Arabidopsis thaliana: one gene and its partners. The protein of the gene in region 2 interacts with the protein of the main gene of each other region in a pairwise test. Each region holds a gene or a part of one and is shown on either strand. Other genes may lie near its edges. The genes, in order: CBL8, SR1, AT1G28060 and AT2G22360.

Region 1 (4,914 bases), on a different chromosome or scaffold from region 2:
CTTCTTCTTCCTCCATTGATTTTGATGTTGAAGACGGCTAAAGATCGACCAAGCCTAAGAAAAACACACTTGAGGGTTTCAAAGAGAAAATTCAAAATCTCTGTTGTGAATGGGCCGACAAATGGGCCGACAGTTTGTCTTAATAGATATCATGTTTTAGTTCTCAGAAGAAATGATAGCTCTTATTTTGATGATCGACTATTATCGTTGGCTTATTGCAAAGTACAAGCAAGTGCTGATGAAGCTAGAGGATAAACTGAGGTCTGCAGAGGATGTTACAAAGGCTAATTAATGGTTTTGTGAGGGAGACCATCGAGTCTTTAACATTTCTAACCTGTGGAAGTCTCTCTTTGAACAAGAAGCTGGTGAAGCATCACCTCAAGTGATAAGGGATGAATTGTTAGCGACCTGTTTCAGCCTATTTTGGGTGAATCATGCCATAGCGAGATACAGAAACTACCTGTATACTCTCCTTACGTTCTAGGATCAGAATTTTTCATCAACTCACTCAGGTTACATATATAATAAAGTAAGTCTTTCTGTTTTTGACATTTTTGGTTTTTGTTGTTGTTGTTTTGGCAGATCGTATTTACCAATTCATTCACCCATTATCCTTATCAGTTAGCATATCAAGTTGTTGGACCATTATAAGTGCGCTTTATGTGATCATTCTTTCTAAAACACACCAAATTACTTTTGAAAAATCTATATCTTGATGATCAAATTCATGATCTATAATATATACATGTGAATCATAATCTTTCCACTTGTCTATGATAATAGTTATCCGCATCTAATCATATCTTACAATATTTGTCTCTGAGCACGTGATATTGAAAGATCAAGAAGCTTTTCATAATTCTTGGATTCAATAGTGTCATCAAGAAGAACCTCGTAACATTGTTTTGACATAAGGAGTCCCCACAATACAAGAAATGAACCATGTTAGTATGAATAGTCGGCACTATTTTGACCATTGTTTTATCCTATGTTTTTTCGTTTCACGATAAACAATCAGAACTATGTTTGAGTTTAAATCAGAACAATCAGAACTAAATGGTTTATCATATGTGTTTTCGCCTTCGGTCATGATAACGTTTTTTCTACAATGACTACACCAATTTGCTTGTGGAGAATCTAATTTCTGAGCATCAATTTTACGAGGATCTTCGATTTTTCCCCTTTCACCAAGTGAAGGTGACGCTGGGATTTGCGAAAATCTCCCTCGATCAATGGTCTTACTTGAGAGAGAAAGTATCGCACCACATCGCACATCATTCTTTCCAACAAAATTAGGGTTCAAGACTCAAGAATACCTCTTTCTCTTCGTTCTCATTCGCAAAAAGATCATGATGATTATTACTCTTCCCATCCATGGCGTCGCGCGCGCGCACGCACTATCTTCTCTCTTTCAAAGATTGTAAAACCTAAAAGAATTTTTCTAATGAATCCCTAGAAAATTAGGAAAGAAAGTAAAGAAAAAGAAGAATAATCCAACGGTTTTTTATTTTAATAAGAACAAAGCGCGTGAATAACAACTAACAATACTCTTTTTACGTGTTATTTTTTCTTGTTTTAATTTTTATTATTATTATAAAAACGAATTAAGAAGAATAAAATCAAATTTTCTCTTTTTTTCTGAACACCTATCAAATTATCTGTTTATGAAATTGAAACCGAAAAAAAAAAAATTGTCAAATAAAAAGATCGTACAGTCACAACTTATTCTTTAATTTATTTTATTTTTAATGATTGCTGAATTTTTAATGAAGTATACAGTAAGCTTTTTGTTTTCCGTCGATATCACATAAGGCATTTCCGTATATCTAAAGTCTTCTCTAGAAATATTGGAAGAACAACAACCCTCTAAATACAACCAATTTGTAACACAAGATCGATCATCCAGGTATTTTCACTTTTAGACTTTTATCATTTGAATCGAATCTTTCTTGATTATTTGGGTTTTATTTTCCTGCCAAATAAGATTTTAATTTTGTAATTAATTGAGCCTATTGTTCTTAATTAAGATCTTGGCCTCTTTCTTGGGGATTACTATATGATGATCATATAGGTTTTATGAGGAATTTATGAGAACCTCTAAATTGTTACTAGGTTTGCCCATCCATGTATCGATCTTAATTAATTTCAAGTCTTCTTCTTAATTAATTGTTATGATCTCATCATATGCATGTTCTTGATTCGTTCCTTGTCGTCATTTTTAACATAAGATGATCGGATCATAAAGATCTAAACCAGATTCATATAAATCTTTTAATTATTTGTTAGTCCACCGTAACTATCATTTCCTCTTATCTACCATTGCGAATTCCAACGGATCATTGAATCAAGATCAGGAGCCTGAAACTTTTTTTTTTTTATTGGTTATTTTAGCAGCACAAAAAATTATTCTATATTTACCAAAGTTGTTGAATGTTGGCATTCGTGAAATGCTTCTCGTTGAAGCGAGCAAAGCATCCTCGTGGATATGAGGATCCTCATGTTCTTGCATCCGAAACTCCCTGTAAGTCAAACCAAACAAACAAAAACCGCAACATCTCTATGTAAAAATTGAATAACATAATTAATTACGAAAGATAAAGAAGAGTTAATAAACGATCATCTATAAACGAATATGAGCTGTATATAGATGCATTTTATGAAGCTATTTATAGAGTTTATGTATAATTGATGTATGCAGTCACCGTGAATGAGATTGAGGCTTTACACGATTTATTCAAGAAGCTAAGTACATCTATTATCAATGATGGTCTAATCCATAAGGTAACATTTATTTCTTAAATGGTTTTTCATTTATACAAAAAAAAAATTGTATATTAAATCTAAAAATCACATTTTTTTTGGGATTTGATTTGCATCTACATGCATGACCTAATATTTTATGAGCAGGAAGAGTTTCTTCTGGCTTTGTTCAGAAACGGCAGTATGCAAAATCTATTTGCGGACAGGGTTCGTATATCTGTTCTATACTTGCATAATTAATTATATATAAACATATTTTTTGTTTAATTACATATTTCAATGAATATTATTGACGTCAAGAAAAATAAAAAAGGTGTTTAGCTAAATAATTCGGAAAAAGTGGTGCATGCAGGTGTTTTATATGTTTGATAGGAAACGCAACGGTGTGATTGAGTTTGGAGAATTTGTTCGTTCCCTTAGCATATTCCATCCATACACTCCCGAACATGAAAAATCTGCATGTACGTTATTTACACTTTAGGATCATGAAAATATACGTGTTTATTTACGTGTCTAATAGATGAAGTAAATCGCTTGTAATGTTGTAGTTATGTTCAAGCTTTTTGACCTCCATGGAACCGGCTTCATCGAGCCCCATGAGGTACTGATAAAATGCTATAGATCTCATCAATTCTACTATTAAAAAAATGGAGAAATTAAAAAAGAATTTTGAATAAAACGGTGAAATCTTTATACGAACAAGTAAATAGTAATTGAAAAATCTTACCTTCAAATTTTCATTTTTTGGTTCAGATTGCAAAGTTGTAGAACATAGATTGCAACCTTCCAAAACCACAAAATTATTCTTTCCATATCAAAATATGTGCATATATATATTATCATATATGTCTTTGGATGTTTGGAGATGCATACACAAACATTTTGATGTGTAAAATGTTTTGGTTGGAAATTAGCTGAAGAAGATGGTTGGCGCACTACTTGGTGAAACAGACTTAGAACTCTCGGAAGAATCTATTGAAGCTATCGTGGAACAGGTCACGCAACATTATACCTAATTTTAATCTATTTATCTTTCTTATTATGACATTAATATTCCTATATATTTAATATCTTTTTTTTGTTAAAGATATATATTTAATATCTTAATGATGTTGAATTTGTGAATCGATTTTTACAAACAGACGATGCTCGAGGTTGATACAAACAAAGATGGGAAGATTGATGAAGAAGAGTGGAAAGAGCTCGTTGCTAAGAATCCTTCAATCCTCAAGAACATGACTCTGCCTTACCTCAAGTAGACTTTTATTTCAAAAATATTTCTCTTTCTTGTTTTTATTGACATATAAAGTAAGTACGTCGTCGTTTCTATGATTTATAGGGAAGTGACTTTAGCATTTCCAAGCTTTGTACTCGACTCTGAAGTTGAAGACTAGAGGAAATCTTTAGAAGAAGCTAGAGGCTTTTTCGAATTATACGTTTGAGGTCTTTTAATCCTTTTTATGTATAATTCGGAATTCATTCGACATTATATGGTACAAGGCTGAAACAATTTGCAATTCTTTTTGTTTCGATTATGTCTCTCGGTCGTTTAGTTACTTGTTGATAATCTATTTCTAAGGGAATTTTTTTACAATGAAATAACAATTTTCTTTAAGGTTTTATCATTTAAATGGCTTTTTAGAAAAATGGCGTTGTGGACAATAATCTCAAAATATAAAGAAAAGTGAACTCTTAACGGTCACTGGTGAGCAACGGCTATAGGAGGAGCCACTGCAGTAGCAACGTCGGGTCCACACGTGTGTCGAACTGTCGATATATGTGCGGCCAATTGGTTTTGAATTTTAAATAGTTATCTTTTGATGTTGTTGTATTCATGTACCAACAATAATCGTGACAACATTAACTTATCTTCTTACAAATATTGAAATGTATATAAATACGTCAGGTCATATTATTTTATTGTCAGATGAAAACCACCGGCCATACCAGATGTTATCAACTACTCTTATTAAAGCTTAGATGATACTTGGTTGATTTCGTATAAAATATAGTAATAATGTAAGATCATCTCTAATAGTTAAGAACCAATTACTTCTTAACCTTGAATATTAACGTTATTTTAAATTAAAATTTCACTGTTTTGAAGGTAAGAAAAATTAGAGAAGATTTTAACAAATTACTATTCCAATGATT
Region 2 (4,708 bases):
TACAATTATTGCATTGAAAAGGTGATATATATGTTGATTACAGTAATTATAACTGCTGAAGCTGAAATTAATGGATTATGGATGATTGGATTCAATGTGGATACCAAGAAAAGAAAATGATTGATGAGAATTATTGGTGTATGATCTTATATCACAGCCACATGCGATAGGATTATATAAAGTCCACTAGCTATATATCTATTTTAATAGTATATTTTTACAATGATGTGATAAGGACAACCTCTTACTTATCAAAAAGGTGAAAGTAGATCAGTTGTGTTAGTTCATGGCTCAAATCTTGACACTTCTTTTTACATAATGACAAAATTAATAGCAGAAGAAGACTGTGTTTTATGAGTTGTTAAAAATTACATCTATATGTATGTTAAATATCATGTTGAATAGTTAACTAATCCTTAAGTAATGGTTAAGTTAGAGTGTCTTGTACACATAGCATTACTTCACATCCACGATACGTTACTAATGTATTATAGTGGCCATTTAAAACAAGTAATACATTTTTTTATATTTTATTTTTCATTTATATAAAATATAATTATGATTACATAACAAGAAGATACATACTTGCCAACTAAAAATTAAGATTTGTCGAGAAATTTCCTGAATAATTATGTCAGAGATATTCTCCGGGTAAAAAAAAAAGCAATTACATATAACCCGGGATATTTTTTTTTAATTATTATTTGGATAATTTATTTGACAGATACCTAAACTACGACGTCGTATGTACTTGAGTTGGTTCTGGGTCCGTTTGGTCTGATTCGTGCACAAGCTCGACGAAGAAAGGCCTGAGTGTATCTGTCCATAAATCTCGTCCAGATGCAGCGGCTCTTTGTCTCTTCCTCACCTCTATCATAACCAGCTCGTCCGTTAGCTGGTTTATCTCAACCACCATTGCGAAGTTACCTTTTTGCCCCTCGATCTTCATCCCCCATGTTTCCTTCTTCGCCACCGTCAGATTCTCCGCCGACACGATCTCCTCCAGCCTCTCCACCACCCTCTCCGCCGTCCACGCCGACACGAACCGTTCCACTCGGTCGTACTTTCTGGCGTCTCCGAAAAGACCGGAGAGATTGAACCCTGGAGATCCTGAGATGATGTCGAATGCGTTCATCCTCCTTGCTCCCATCTCGCTGTCGGTCTCGTCCGCCGGGAGTTTCATATCGGAGTCCTCTAGATGGAATTTAGACATCCGATCGTCGTAGCCCTGTTTGAACCATGGATCGTGGATGATCTCTTCGATAGTGATCCTCGTCTGCGGATTCGTGTCTAAAAGCCGAGTCAGCAGTCGCCGGAGATCCGGTGAGGTCCACTTGGGAATGCGAAATTCTCCCTTGTAGATTTTCCGGTACATAACCATGAGATTATGGTCGTTGAAAGGGAGATAACCGGCGTTGAGGACGAACAGTATGATTCCACATGACCATATGTCGATTTTAGCACCGTCGTACCCTTTCTTCGCCAAAACCTCAGGCGCCACGTACGCCGGCGTACCACAGAGTGTGTGGAGGAGGCCGTCGGGTCGGATCTGATCGGTAAGAGCGCTGAGTCCGAAATCAGAGATCTTCAAATCGAGCTTCTCGTCGAGGAGGAGATTCTCCGGTTTGAGATCACGGTGAAAGATGCCGCGGGAGTGGCAATATCCGACGGCGGAGATGAGCTGCTGGAAATAACGACGGCTAAGATCCTCGCAGAACCTGCCCTTGGAGACTTTGGCGAATAGCTCACCGCCCTTGGCGAATTCCATGACGAAGAAGATCTTGGATTTGGTGGCGAGGACCTCGAACAGGCGCACGATAGAAGGGTGGCGCAGACGGTGCATGATAGCGATCTCTCTCTGAATGTTGCCATTGAGTCCTCCTTTCTGCAGCCGTTGCTTGCTCACCACTTTGATCGCAACGCTCTGACCCGTCGCTGTGCTCCTCCCGTGGTACACTTTCGCGAAGGCGCCGCATCCCACCAATTTTCCGACCTCGTATTTGCCGAAGAGCTGTCCACGGCGGTTCTCCGGCGGAAATTCCACCGGGTCAGAATCTACCATTAAAAACAGAATCTGCTAGGTCAATTATGGTACACAGAAACTGAGGTCATTGCGAATGAATCAACGCCGTAGAAAAAAAAGAAAAGAAGTCTGAGAGAGAGAGTGTTGTTATTAATAGAAGAAGCGAAAGGAAAATTAGTAGTTTGAAAAGTAAAAAGATATGAACAAAAGTAACAGATATTTAGAGAGATCTGTTAGCAGAGAAAACAAAAGAGAGACAGACAAATTGGGAGGATTCGGATAAGAGATAAGCCATGCTCTGTATCGAGTTGTTACATATATATTACTGTCTTGAGGTAGGAGATGAGGGTATTTTTGTCAATTACTATCAGATTCTTTTTCCTTATTTTCTTCTTCTTTATTTTCTTTGTAAAGACGTGGGAGATTTTCTGTTTTGTTTTCTTAATATATCTATTAAAAAAAGAAGAAGAAGAAGATGAAGATGTGGACAAGAAGTTGAATTAGAACCATACAGGTGTCCCGTCGCTGTTGTCGTGTTGATTTGGTATCTCCGAGGGTTTAGGCTGTAGAATATACTCATTTCACACATATACGCTTCGTCGTATCTTCGGCTATTTGCTATAATATTATTATTACAAGAACATATAAACATGTTTCCTCCAATATTGTTGAATATTATTATTTTATGGTCAACTCAAAACGGAGAATTGTTCTTTCGACTAGCCTAGGCAGCTAGCTCTAGTTAGTTAGTAATTCAGCTAACCACTGCTTTGTTTAGTCATCAATCGTGGTTAAGTCCTTTGAACATCCAAATTCCCCTTATTAGTATTAGTTCAAGTCTCATTTTGAGCACCAGGCTATATATTGCGGTTGACAGGTTACTACAACTCCCGCCCCACTGCTCAAGGTTGGAATCGTCCTATAACTAGTGTCATTTCCTAATCTTCCTTAATCTTTTCAAATCACTATCTAAACTCTACGTTCATTTTTAATTATGATTCTTATGTTTATTTTTCCACTCCATCACTGTTCCAAATAACTTGAATTATTTATCAAATTTAAACAATACTTGGGAAAATATATTTCATGCTTTTTGTATACATTTCACAGTTGTTTATTTCACTATTTTTAGAAAATATATTTGCTTATGTTGGAATCATTAGTTAATACATTTGGAAAACATATGTCATTCCTTTTTAAAAATCTCCAGTTGTTTTTTCCCATATTCGTGGAAAAATAAATCGAGTCTTATGGGCAAATTGATCTATTTGATGCTTTTTGAAAAAAAGAAATATGACTACATTTAAGATTTCAATTGATTATTTTCAATATATGTTTCACATTATAAAGTACAAACAGTGCGCTTGAAAAAATAACTTTTGCCCAAAATAAAAAAGAAAAACAAATTTGATTAATATTTAACATTATCTCATTGTTTTTTTTTAATAGTTACTATTTTCTTACTTAGCTAAGTTGGAAAGTCAGTATAATTTTATAAAGATGTATTAGTTCCATGTATGATCACTACCCACAATCACACTAATTATGTCCCAATTCCTCAGACTTAAACATTTGACGACTTAGAAATCATCGCATTGCATTGTTAGAGTGCAAGGCTTTTATAATCTTGTGAAGTTTTGGTTAAAGTTTAATACCAAAAAAAAGAGGATAAATTTTGCAGTGTCAATTTTTATAGTAAATCTACGACGTGATCTACCCACCGCAGCGTACAACAAAATATAAAATCAATTTTAATTATTTTTGTAATTTATCCAAAACACACAACGTTTTAAAGATTAGATAAATCGTACGTTACTATTTTCGCTGTCACGCTGTGCCCATTTGTACATATATATAAATCCAAGCCACACATAAATTAGTACTATTTTTTTTTGGTAGGCATAAATTAGTACTACAGTATTCACATAAAACCAAATCAACATCTTTTTTAATATATATAAATCCATTAAAAGACATGTACGGGAATAAAATAAAAATAAATTACCGCGTTAATAATGTGATGTACGAAAGATTTCATTTGTTTTTAATTTTGATTTTTTCTGATGCTGTTTCATGGAAGCTTCTTTCGTTGGGGAAAAAGAGAAGGAGGAAGGAAAGAAGCTCGTTAAATAATTACGAAATCAAGGTTCTGTCAATAAAAATGGATGGTTATATAATTGCCCCTTTTCTTTCGTTGGTTCGAAAGGTTGCTCCAATCAAAATATCTACTGATTTTGAATACATTATTAATTGTTGACAAACAAAATAAAAGAATACATTATTAATTTAGCTTGTTACTTTTGGTCCCATGCAAGATTAATGTGACCATATAACCCATTTTTACGACAAAATTTAACGATATAATATATATGACCATAAATAACTTCTGAAGTAATTAACAAAAGAAAACATAAATAAAATGAATTAAAAAAATGGAATATACGAGGTCCATGTTAATATGTTATAAACACGTTTACAAAAAAAAAAAAAAAACGTAATGCAAGAATAAATGAAGGCTGCAGGAAGAAAAATAAAGGGCTTTCGTGCAGAAGAAAGAAACGTACGATAACATAACTGATATCTCCCGTAAGCATTGTCTTACGTTTATTAATGGTCTGGCGACTATATAATTTCCATTAATTCAACATCTAATTACAGTATTTGTCCGTCCACGATATGCATGTA
Region 3 (6,336 bases), on a different chromosome or scaffold from region 2:
ATCACGGTCACGATCACCATCATCGCCATCACCACCGACAACACCACTCTTAAGCAACTCCTCAAGCTGCTTACACAATACCTGCTTATACCTCCCACAACTAGATCCACAAGATCCACGCTTCTTAAACGTCGTATCGCTGGGAACAATCAATTCATTAGATCCCAAAACCCAAGAATCCAACTGCATCCCGAAATTATCCATCATCATCGCCATCATCGGAACTTGATTCTCTTCATCTTTCCTCCCTTGCTCCAAATCAAGTCCCCATAAAGCAGCAAGCTCCAACGCCGATGGACAACCGGAAAAACCTTCCACGGCGGATCGAACATGAGCATCGGAAACTGAACAACTTCCGTGAACATCCCAATCACACTCCTGACACAAAATCAGATTATCGGTGAAACACCGAACAGAGACTGGCTCGTTACCGCAATTATCGCAGATCTGAGATCGCACGTGCTTCCTCGACAACAGATTCGCCGTGTGAACTTGCTGATCACAAGGCAAACACAGCTTCGCCGTATCGGCTCTACAAAACAAAACCGCCGTACGCTCGCCGCAGAAATCGCACGGTACTCTCTCCGAACTACTCATAACTGACTCTCTCTCAAAATCCCTAAAATTCGAAATCAAAATCAGAATTTATTTTCAGAGACTAAGGACGGTGAGAAGAATGATGACAAATCCATTTCTCACGTTTTTCATTTTGAACTCTTTTTTTTTTTGGGGGGCTTTGTCAAAATTATCTGCAAATCTTTTGGAATGAAGAAGACAACGAAGCTAATTATTGTAAACAGTTTGGGGTTAGGGATTTGTTTTTCTGTGTTGCGATGTATGGAACTTGTGTATGATGGATTGTTCAGATTGAGATATGTTGAGATCTGACGGTGTAAAAGCGTGCTGAGAGAGTCGCCATTGTTCAGACGGCGAAGCTTACGTTGACTGTGACAGAGAATCTAAGAGAAAATATCTAATCTGCTTTTTCACCTAAATATCTATTTTAACGTATAAAGGGAAAGTTAGTTCAAAGCACATGATTTTTATGGGATTAATTCTTTCCGTATATAGCAATAACTTTTTGATCAGTGTAATAACGGCTGGAATCGTCTTTTTCTGGAACTAGTATTTACGAACATTGCAGCGTAATGTATAGCATATATTTATGTGCATAATAAACTGCTACACACGAGTTCTTGACAAAAGATGTGATAAAATTAAAATCGTAAAGATATTTTAGGATTCATGTTAGATATTTTCTTTTTGTCCATAGACTTCAATAAGTTGTTTTTTTTTGTTTTGAAAAAAAGTATAACTTATTTGTAAAGTGCTATCATTCTGAGGTATAAATATCTTGAAAAAGTTCCTGGGGAGTGGTAACAATCGGAACGATTCTTGACTAACGCATTAAATTTCACGTGTTAGAGAGTTTGTGATTCAGACTATACATAATACAGTATATGAGCGGGTTTTTTCTTTTTTGAGTCAAAGCGGAATATATGCGTTATATACTTCTATATTTGAATTCTTGAGTTTTGATCGAATGTTTAATTTGTGGTCAACTTGTGGAAATCTCTTGGCAAAGAAATCTTATTTATCCAAAAAATAGTTGGTATGAAAACTCTTGGCAAAGAAATCTTGTTTATTCCAAAAATAGTTGGTATGAAGAGTTTGGATTTCTGCTTGTAAGAAAACTGCGACCTGACATCAAATATTTTTCTTTTTAAAGATAAATAGCTTGAATTTTCATATATCTCTATAGAAGATGAATCGTCGATTTTTTTTTTTTTAAGTAAAAGATGATATAAAAGCCCATTAGACTCAAAATTGAAGAACTATCTCAAGAAGGAACTCAAAAATGGGCTTCAGCCCATAAGGGAAGCTTGTAGTCCGGTGATTGGATTATATATCTTCCGGATCCGGTATCGTTTCGCTCCCTTTAGGATTTTTCCGGAAGGAACAAAAATCTGATTCAGAACTTGGTTTCGCTGGTCGTTTTGGTTCTAATCTGAATCGCTGGTTTATTCCGGTTGTGAATTTTCGTATATTTATAGGACCGGCGAATCAGAAGCAAATTGTTGTTAGGAATAAACCCTAAATTCTGCCATGGATAAGGAGAGATATTCCAGGAGCCACCGTGACGATCGTGATCGAGATTCGAGTCCCGACCATTCTCCACAACGTGAAGGAGGACGCCGCCGTGACCGCGATGTTGATTCGAAGCGTCGTGATTCAGATCACTACCGTTCATCGAGGCGCGGCGATAGGGAAGATGAGAGAGATAGGACCAAGGATAGAAGAGGGAGATCTGTAGAGCGAGGCGAGAGAGAAGGGAGTAGAGATAGGGAAAAGCATCACCATGAGAGGTCTCACGAAGGTAGTAAAGAGAAGGAATCGAGGAGCAAGAGGAAAGATAGAGAGGAAGAGAATGGGGCTAGGGATGGGAAGAAGAAATCTAGGTTTGCTGATGGGAATGGTGAGAGGAGGAGCAGGTTTGAGGATGTGGCTATTGAAGTTGAGAACAAAGATGCTCAAGTCTCTGAGGGTTCTGGGGCTACGAATCCAACCAGTGGCGTTACGATGGTGAGTTCTTTATACCTTTTCGTTAATCTTCTTTGTTTGCTACTTGCGATTTGTTCATGATTACCTCTAGTCTTCTTCGCTAGCTAATGCTTGCATTTTCTTTTTTTGTGCAGGGAGCCTCTACATATAGTTCTATTCCATCGGAAGCTTCTGCTGCCCCTAGTCAAACACTGCTCACTAAGGTATCTTCGATATCTACAACGGATGAAAATAAGGCTAGTGTTGTCAGATCTCATGAGGTTCCTGGAAAATCTAGTACAGATGGAAGACCATTGTCCACAGCTGGGAAAAGTAGTGCAAACTTGCCTCTTGATTCATCAGCGTTAGCAGCGAAAGCTAGGAAAGCACTACAATTGCAAAAGGGATTGGCTGATAGATTGAAGAACCTTCCTTTGGTAAGATGTACAGATATTCTATACTTTTTTGCGTTCATTCTTCTCTGAAAACTTTGTATTTGATAAATTGCTTTTCTTATTCTCTGTGCAGCTGAAGAAGGCTACTAAGCCAACTTCAGAAGGTAGCCCACATACCAGAGTGCCACCATCGACTACCACTCCTGCTGTCTCTACAGGCACATCTTTTGCTTCAACATTACCACATACTGGCCTTGCTGGCTTTGGGAGTATTGCCAACATTGAAGCTGTTAAGCGAGCCCAGGAGCTGGCAGCTAATATGGGATTTCATCAGGATCGAGAGTTCGCTCCCGTTATTAACCTATTTCCAGGACAGGCACCCTCAGATATGACTGTTGCACAGAGACCGGAAAAGCCCCCTGTTCTGCGCGTGGATGCACTAGGAAGGGAGATAGATGAACACGGAAATGTGATTAGTGTGACTAAACCAAGCAATCTTAGTACATTGAAGGTCAGCAATGTTAATTTGAATATCTTAAGTTTTCATGTTTTTCTTTATATGATCGAGCTTCTAAAGTACTTGGATTTTACAGGTTAACATAAACAAAAAGAAGAAAGATGCTTTTCAGATTCTTAAACCTCAACTGGAAGCAGATCTAAAAGAAAACCCCTATTTTGACACAAGGATGGGTATTGATGAAAAAAAGATTCTGAGACCTAAACGTATGAGTTTCCAGTTTGTTGAGGAAGGTAAATGGACAAGAGATGCTGAAAATTTGAAGTTTAAGGTATGCATTGTCTTTTGTATGGATTCTTTTTGACGATATTCTCTCTTGGTGGTCTTTTAGATGTCTCATTGTGTGTATTTCTGTCTTTTCTTTATAGAGTCATTTTGGTGAAGCAAAAGCGAAGGAGCTGAAGGTGAAGCAAGCACAACTGGCTAAGGCAAACGATGATATAAATCCAAATTTGATAGAGGTATCCGAACGTGTCCCGAGAAAAGAGAAGCCCAAGGAGCCAATTCCAGATGTTGAGTGGTGGTACGTAATTTCTCTCACCTTACCCTTTCTGTTAATGCTAAGTTGTTTTGTTTCTGATTTGACATTCACTTGGCATAACCTTGGTGGAAACAAGTCATCCTGCACTTAAAAACTGAACTTGTAACGATTGGAGTATTTGATGACTGTGATGAATCACCATAACAATAACTTTAGTTTGCTCTCAGCTACGGATGACATTCATATAATTTGTTTGGTGTTCTTGTTGCTCATGTTGGTTTAGGGTTGTTTGTTTGTTTTTTGAATTACTATCTAGTTTCGTTTAGGTGGGATATATACAATTAATATTTCAATTCTTTGATTTCTTTGAGTGTTCGCATATGTGCTTTAGTTTTCCACATACAACTTCTGAAAGTTCAATGGTTTTGTCATCAGCAACGGTGTGATTGGTAGTAAAATATGGTAACATGAATCTACTGATGATTATGATCTACTTAGTACCTTTCAATGCCAGCCCAAATAGTTAATCTAGCTGCTTTGTGCTCTGTCGTTTTGGTCTATTTTCTTGGTATATGTTCATGATGAGTCTTCTTAGTTCATAATTGTTTTATGTTTCAGGGATGCAAATGTCCTCACCAATGGCGAATACGGCGAAATAACTGATGGCACCATTACTGAAAGCCATCTGAAGATAGAAAAACTTACTCATTACATTGAGCATCCTCGTCCCATAGAGCCACCTGCAGAGGCAGCTCCTCCACCACCCCAACCTCTTAAACTGACAAAGAAGGAACAGAAGAAACTGCGAACCCAGAGGCGTCTAGCAAAAGAAAAGGAGAAACAGGAGATGATCAGACAAGGGTTGCTGGAACCACCAAAAGCAAAGGTGAAGATGAGCAACTTAATGAAGGTTCTTGGTTCTGAAGCGACCCAAGACCCAACAAAGCTTGAAAAAGAGATCCGCACAGCAGCTGCTGAGCGTGAACAGGCTCATACAGATAGGAATGCTGCCCGGAAGCTAACTCCTGCAGAGAAACGTGAGAAGAAAGAGAGGAAGCTTTTCGATGATCCAACAACGGTTGAGACGATTGTGTCGGTGTACAAGATCAAAAAGTTATCGCACCCTAAAACAAGATTCAAAGTGGAGATGAATGCAAGAGAGAACAGATTAACAGGGTGTAGTGTGATGACGGATGAAATGAGTGTGGTTGTGGTTGAGGGCAAGAGCAAAGCGATAAAGAGATACGGGAAGCTGATGATGAAGCGAATAAACTGGGAAGAGGCAGAGAGGAAGGAAGGGAATGAAGACGAGGAAGAAGAAGTGAATGGCGGAAACAAGTGTTGGTTGGTTTGGCAAGGAAGTATTGGGAAACCGAGTTTTCATAGGTTTCATGTACACGAATGCGTGACGGAATCCACTGCCAAGAAAGTTTTCATGGATGCTGGTGTTGTTCACTACTGGGATCTCGCTGTCAATTACTCAGACGACTAAATCCTCTCTCCCTCATATCATCATCATCACCTTGAAATGCGTTAACTATTTGGACATGTTATTGCACTTCTATGAACATATATTCCCCTGGTGTCTGGTATTTTAGTTTTTGAACAAGAAATGATCTGTTTTTTACTAGGTAAACTGTTTAAGGTTGATGATACAACATGAATTATCTGAGTCACAGCCAAAAAAGTACCATTGGTTAAGTATGATTATGACTTAAAACAAAACTATAATGTTTTAAAAATATCGAGGCCACTAACCGATAACATAATTATGTGTACAGTCAGAAGAATGAGCCGCGCGTGTAGATGGTTGGACGAAACGTGCGACAAGATGCGAGCCTGAGTGCTCAATATGTACCTGACAGCTACACCTCCTCCAGCTTTCTCTTTACCCAACAATTCTCCACCAACACGGGCGCGTGACCTCATGAAAATCCCCAAACTACCCTCAAACTCTGTTTTTTTTTCCTTGATTAAAGAGTCTTCCTTCGTGTTTTTCTTGTTTTCATTCCTTCCAAATATCTATCTCTTTTGTTTCTTCTTCTTCTTCTCCTCTGCTTTTGGAATCATTATAGTGATAAGAGGAGATGGCGGATATAACAGAATATCTAGAGAGATCGATGCAGAATTGTTCACTTATTGATCGGAGAAGTAGTATGGGAGATGGATTTGGTATGAGCGATGAACATATCCCGATCTCAGATAGATTCTTGGAGCTCAGTTCTCACTTCTCTGTTCCTTCTCATTTGGAACAGTGTCTTGATCTTAAGGTAAAAGAAAACTCACACAAAAAGAAACAGATTCCTTCCATGTTTCCTTATAATTGATCTTTCAATTTTATTTTGTTTTGTCTCAAAATGCTCAAAGGGTTTTGGTTTCAAGCTTGATTTGTAATTGTATGG
Region 4 (5,358 bases), on a different chromosome or scaffold from region 2:
GCTGTTTCATCTTTCTGTGAATTTCTTGCTCCGTAAGTTCATCTGATATATTTTACAGCACCTGTGATAGTGTCTTTGATATAAGCTTCATCAGTGATATGATTCCTTGTGTTTTCAGGCTTGTTCACTTGTCGAAACCGTCTATCTCCACGGGGGTTGTGCCAACCGCTGCTGCGGCGGCTGCATCTCTTATGTCGGATGGAGGAGGTACTACATTGTAAGAAGTTTGAAGTTAAAAACAACTGTTCTTGTGTTCTCTCTTGTTAGATCTTTTGGTCCAATCTAGTCAATTTTCCAGATTACACAATGGTTGTGAAATCTTGTGAACCATTAGAGTTAAGTATTATTTAATGAGAATCAGTAAGGGATCTTTAATAAATATTCTTTATAAATCACAACTTGCATATGATCTTTGCTCTTCTCTCAACCTTTTGGTATTATGATGTTTCATTGTTGTCACTTGTCAGTAGATTGATAGTTTATGAAGCTTCGAACATGATTAAAATAATGTGAATGTCTTTGTGGAATTACATACTATTTTATTTATCATTCAATCACTAATAAATTCCAATTTGAAAGCCTATTAAAACCTAACATATTAAAAATTTGAACCACAAAAAAATGAATTCTAAAATTCTTCCATTTCCACAACAATAATCATCTTCCTCCACTTGCTTCTTCTTTTTTCAAGAGCCATTCTAAATATCACAAGCCAGAGTAGAAAAATGTATATGTATAGAGAGATTCATAATTTCAATGTCAAAATTTTCGTGTTTCTAATCATCTACTGGTGCTATTAGCAGTCTTGTTCTTGCTCATATCAGCAAGCTCTTCAATAAGTTTTTTCTCCTCTTTGCTCAATCTCTTAGGTATCTCCACTTGTACTCTCACCAACTGATCTCCTCTCATATTACTCTTGTTCAATACCGGAACTCCTTTTTTCGCCATCACAAGCGTCGTGCTAGGTTGTGTCCCAGCTGGAACTTTCAAATCTACTGTCCCATCCACTGTTGGTACTTTCAGTGTCGTCCCTAAAATCGCATCGATATACGATATCTTGCAAGTGTAGAGAATATTTGTATCGTCTCGTTTCAAAATCGGGTCTGGGATAACTTCTATAACAACAAACAGATCGCCTGGTGATCCGCCTCTCTTCCCGGCATTGCCTTCTCCTCTCACTCTCAACCGGCTACCTGAATCAACCCCGGCTGGTACTTTGAGACTTATCCGTTTTGTCTTCCTCACGCGTCCGTCTCCAGAGCAAGTACCACACGGCGTCGAGATCTCTCCAGTGCCATTACAGGACGAGCAAGTCATGACTTGTTGGAACACGCCCAGAGGAGTTCTAGCTGCTGAAACCACTTGGCCTTGTCCGCCACACGTGGTGCATTTGGTCGGTTTGGTTCCAGGTTTTGCACCTGAACCTTCACATGTCCCACAGCTCTCGAGCCGGGATATCTCTATTTCTTTCTCCATTCCGAAAACCGCTTCTTTGAAGTTTAAGATTAGCGTGTAATACTCGTCTTGACCATCCACAGCTCTGCTTCTTGAACCTCTACCCATCCCACCACCGAAGCCTTCGAATAATGAGTCGAATAGATCGAACGGATTACTAAAATCCTAATGAAATTTAATAACAAAAAACCAAACCAAGAAGTGATCAGAGAGTTAACTTCGAGTGTCTATAAAGAATAAATCTGTGCATCTGTGTTTTGAACAACGTACCCCATTGCCAAATCCAGCAGCGCCTTTAAGTCCGGCCTCACCATACCTATCGTAAAGAGATTTCTTTTCATCATCTGATAAAACCTGCAATTTTGTTCTTTAGTCACTAAAAGTACGAACTTGCATAGTAGAAACAAAGGAGAAACTGGGTTTCATTTCACCTCATATGCGTTACTTATTTCTTTGAATTTCTCTTCTGCGCCAGGATCCCTGTAAGCACATAATAAACATGTAAACAAGACGGTAACACTTTTCTAACTTAGAAGTGTCAGTCTTGAAAGGAAAAAAGCGGTTTCTGAGCATTTCATATTTCCCGGTCTGTATTTTGCTAAGGGCTATGAGTTCTTAAAATAACTGGTTTCCCTAATTTGGGGAACAACATAATCCAAGGTTTGCAGTCATCTTGTTTTTGGCATATCTAACATTTGGCTAACAGATATTAAGCTTCTTATCTCTACTTGACTGTCGATCCTATCTTCTTATTCTCAAGATATACATCCACTATCGTCATCAAGTGAAGTTTTTCACTTACTTGTTCACATCCGGATGGTAATTCCTAGCCAGCTTCCGATAAGCTGAAACAAGAGCAAGGAAGAGCGAATCAATGTCATACCAAAAAGTACCAAGTCAAGAAAAAAAAAGAAACGCCAAGCAAAGAATTCACATCACGGGTTTGATCATGCATTTTAACATATGCAAACCATCTATATATACAAGGGAATCTCTCACACACAGAAAAACAGAAACATACCGCTTTTAATCTCAGCTTTGGTTGCATTTTTCGAAACTCCGAGTACCGAATAGTAATCCTAGAATTGCACACAATCACACAAAAAGCAATCAAGATCATAATAAATAGTGAAGCTGAGATATACGCATTCAGCAAAGGGAAGAAAATAGGAACACGTACTGCATCAGCTCTAACAGTGAAGCGAGATCCTCTGCGAGGAGGATGCATATTTCTGGACATTCCCGTCATGGACAAGAAGGGCAATGACCCATGTGAGAACATACTCGACTTTGAAGCTCCCAAACAATTTACTTGGCTACTGGAACTGTAAAAGTTGTGAAAAGGAAAACCTTTAATGCTATTTCATATATAAAACTCTCAGTGTAGAAATCACATAATACAAACTTCATTCTACGAAGACTAATCTTAAGATGTGCAATGTGAACAAATCAAAATACTTGAAAGGCTTAAAGCCACAGAACTGAATGCAATCCAGAGACTTAAAAATCATACTTTTGATGGCGAGTTGATTCGATTCTGCTGGGATAATAAGCTCTGACTGCAAATTGAGGACGAATACTCCATTGAGCAACACATGTACTTCCAAGTTGTATTATAGCCATATTTAGCTCAATACACTCCCTGCAACACAATATAAGTAGCTCTAAGCCTCAAAGTCTGGCTTTTTAACTTTAAAAATGCAGAAAGCAATCATGAGTCAAAACCCTAAACCCCCAATCCTTACACAAAGATTCAAACTTAAGAAATACACAACATCAATTTCAATTGAACACACATACTTCAATCAAAGTACAATAAGAATATCAATTTTACAGAAACCAAAAAGGCAAAACATTTCTATCAAAATCCGAGCTGGGCGGGAAATTTTCTGGGCGGATTCCAAAAGCCGTAATTTCTCCCTCTCCGGGAACGAAACAATCAGGACAAGCATAAGAAACTGTGTAAAACCTTGAATTGATTTGATGGTTTCAATCGTAGAAAAAAACTAACAGAGGCAGAGAAGACAGAGATTTATTTATCTATAGTTATGAAATTGAGTAGGAGAAGGTGAATCTTACCGTAATCAATGGTGGACGACGGAAGAGCTCCGAGAGAGATAAGAAAAGCGATGAGAGTAGAGAGAAAACGTATGAAAGGAGTTCGCTAGAAGAGCCTACCTCTTGTTTCTTATTTTTAAATTTTTTCTTTTTTCCTATAAATTTTATTAATGAAATAAAATCAAGCAAAATAAATAATAGGTGGCCGGGATAAAAAAATAAAGGGTCTGAGTGGTAAAAGAGCTGTTAGCTGTTAATCGGAGAGCTAAAGCTTGTTTAACAAGTCAGGAAACCCTAGTGAAAGGGAAAAATAAAATAAAATTAGTCGACCAAAGAGCCCTAAAAATGATAAAGAGGCGGCTTAGACCACGACGAATAAGAGTCGTCACTCAAGCATCACTATGGTCCAGTCCCTGTGAAATCGATAAAGGTGCTTCACATTGGTACTAATTAACAATGACCACAACACCAATAACCAAAGCCTCAAGTGCTCCAACACTAGACGCATCACCATACCTTTTACATCCAGATGATCAAAATCACACCAAATCAAGTATCTTTAGCTACATGCCTACATATACTCTGTATCTAAAAAGAAGAAAAATTTGCAAATATCTGCATTGTTTTTTTTTTGGTAGAATGAGGGAGACTGCGTCTCCCGTTTTATTAAAAGAAAATAAAAAAATTACACTTGGACATGTCTCGGGTACGAAACCCCCGCTACATCATCTAACAAAATAGAACTAACAACATCGGGTCTAGACTCCAACAAATGCAAACCTAGGGATAACGAGAAAGCATAGTTCGCTAATCCATCAGCAAGACGATTAGCTTCCCTATACACATGAGAGATTCGGACTATCCAGCCCTTCGATAAAAAGTCATAGCACAAGCGTAATAGGAATGACAAGGGATGAGAATCCGCAATCCCTGTCGTGAGAAACCCAACCACCATCTTCGAGTCTACTTCTAATTCAACCCGCCGAGCTCCCCTCCCCCAAGCGATGAATAACCCATAGTAGACACCCCACAACTCAGCCAAGGGTGCGGAACAAACACCTATATTAACCGCAAAACCTCCAATCCACGCTCCATTATGATCCCGTAAAACCCCACCCGCCGTTGCAAACCCCGGATTACCCCGCGAAGCCCCATCCGTGTTCAACTTTACCCAACCATCTTCCGGCGATACCCAAGACACCAACCGCTCAACTCTACTCACCCGCACCTCATTCCCCTTCACAAAAGCATTCGCTATCGCCACTTCCTCCGCCAAATCCTTAATAAACTTAACACGGTCCCTACACTTACCATTCCCGCCAAAGATGTTGCCACACCTCCATTTCCATCCCCACCATACTGCCATTACAAACACCGTCGGCCATGATCCACGTTCCCGTAAGTTCTTGTAGATCCACTCCAGCAAAGAAGCAGTGAAGAATTGTCGTATTTGATCACGAGGGACTAACCGGCTCCATATCCCTGCCATTGCGGGACAGTCGCGGAGAACATGTAGAATCGTCTCCTCCCCGCCTTGACAAATCTGACACACCCTCGTATCACTCAAGTGTCTTCGATATCTTTCCACATTAGTTATGATCACTTGCTGCACCACTAACCAGAGAAAAACACGGACTCGTTCCGGTGCCATTACTCGCCAAATCCTCTGATAAAACAGTCCCATGAATTGTTTGGTTCAATATAAATTTTACTCTTTTTTATACCTTCTTATCTCTAGGATATCGATAATGCTAAGCTTTTGTGAAATTATTAAGACTTCTGAAGCTTATCAAAGATAAGATTAGCTTTATTTCATCGAAGAACATACAAGATATCAAATCACCA

What was found.
Region 1: the proteins of SR1 (region 2) and CBL8 interact in a two-hybrid assay, tested with the Arabidopsis thaliana proteins (one study listed by BioGRID).
Region 3: the proteins of SR1 (region 2) and AT1G28060 interact in a two-hybrid assay, tested with the Arabidopsis thaliana proteins (one study listed by BioGRID).
Region 4: the proteins of SR1 (region 2) and AT2G22360 interact in a two-hybrid assay, tested with the Arabidopsis thaliana proteins (one study listed by BioGRID).

What each region holds. Positions count from the first base shown.
Region 1 is NC_003070.9:23,947,268-23,952,181, reverse strand, and holds CBL8 (calcineurin B-like protein 8), read left to right. Parts: upstream 1-1,820; 5' UTR 1,821-1,906; intron 1,907-2,391; 5' UTR 2,392-2,430; coding exon 2,431-2,521; intron 2,522-2,698; coding exon 2,699-2,781; intron 2,782-2,907; coding exon 2,908-2,967; intron 2,968-3,112; coding exon 3,113-3,221; intron 3,222-3,308; coding exon 3,309-3,361; intron 3,362-3,674; coding exon 3,675-3,755; intron 3,756-3,902; coding exon 3,903-4,015; coding exon of another isoform or gene 4,016-4,019; exon of another isoform or gene 4,020-4,065; intron 4,066-4,099; coding exon 4,100-4,154; 3' UTR 4,155-4,388; downstream 4,389-4,914. Other genes in the region: AT1G64490 (DEK, chromatin associated protein), read right to left, coding at 1-16. UniProt on the Arabidopsis thaliana protein: Acts as a calcium sensor. CBL proteins interact with CIPK serine-threonine protein kinases. Binding of a CBL protein to the regulatory NAF domain of a CIPK protein lead to the activation of the kinase in a calcium-dependent manner.
Region 2 is NC_003076.8:312,690-317,397, forward strand, and holds SR1 (serine/threonine protein kinase 1), read right to left. Parts: upstream 2,717-4,708; 5' UTR 2,063-2,716; coding exon 734-2,062; 3' UTR 501-733; downstream 1-500. UniProt on the Arabidopsis thaliana protein: CIPK serine-threonine protein kinases interact with CBL proteins. Binding of a CBL protein to the regulatory NAF domain of CIPK protein lead to the activation of the kinase in a calcium-dependent manner.
Region 3 is NC_003070.9:9,777,061-9,783,396, forward strand, and holds AT1G28060 (Pre-mRNA-splicing factor 3), read left to right. Parts: upstream 1-1,790; 5' UTR 1,791-1,922; intron 1,923-1,942; exon of another isoform or gene 1,943-2,054; 5' UTR 2,055-2,106; coding exon 2,107-2,583; intron 2,584-2,696; coding exon 2,697-2,978; intron 2,979-3,069; coding exon 3,070-3,447; intron 3,448-3,529; coding exon 3,530-3,724; intron 3,725-3,821; coding exon 3,822-3,976; intron 3,977-4,552; coding exon 4,553-5,426; 3' UTR 5,427-5,806; downstream 5,807-6,336. Other genes in the region: BBX13 (B-box type zinc finger protein with CCT domain-containing protein), read right to left, coding at 1-597; AT1G28070 (ATP-dependent RNA helicase), read left to right, coding at 6,022-6,204. UniProt on the Arabidopsis thaliana protein: Functions in the RNA-directed DNA methylation (RdDM) pathway. Acts as a pre-mRNA splicing factor, likely by affecting Pol V transcripts. Affects DNA methylation of transposable elements (TEs) and preferentially influences NRPD1- and ROS1-targeted loci.
Region 4 is NC_003071.7:9,495,882-9,501,239, reverse strand, and holds AT2G22360 (DNAJ heat shock family protein), read right to left. Parts: upstream 3,671-5,358; 5' UTR 3,535-3,670; intron 3,098-3,534; 5' UTR 3,079-3,097; coding exon 2,969-3,078; intron 2,781-2,968; coding exon 2,636-2,780; intron 2,535-2,635; coding exon 2,477-2,534; intron 2,301-2,476; coding exon 2,258-2,300; intron 1,936-2,257; coding exon 1,887-1,935; intron 1,810-1,886; coding exon 1,726-1,809; intron 1,621-1,725; coding exon 781-1,620; 3' UTR 521-780; downstream 1-520. Other genes in the region: AT2G22370 (mediator of RNA polymerase II transcription subunit), read left to right, coding at 1-32, 119-221. UniProt on the Arabidopsis thaliana protein: May function together with HSC70 chaperone to assist protein folding and prevent protein aggregation during heat stress in the chloroplast.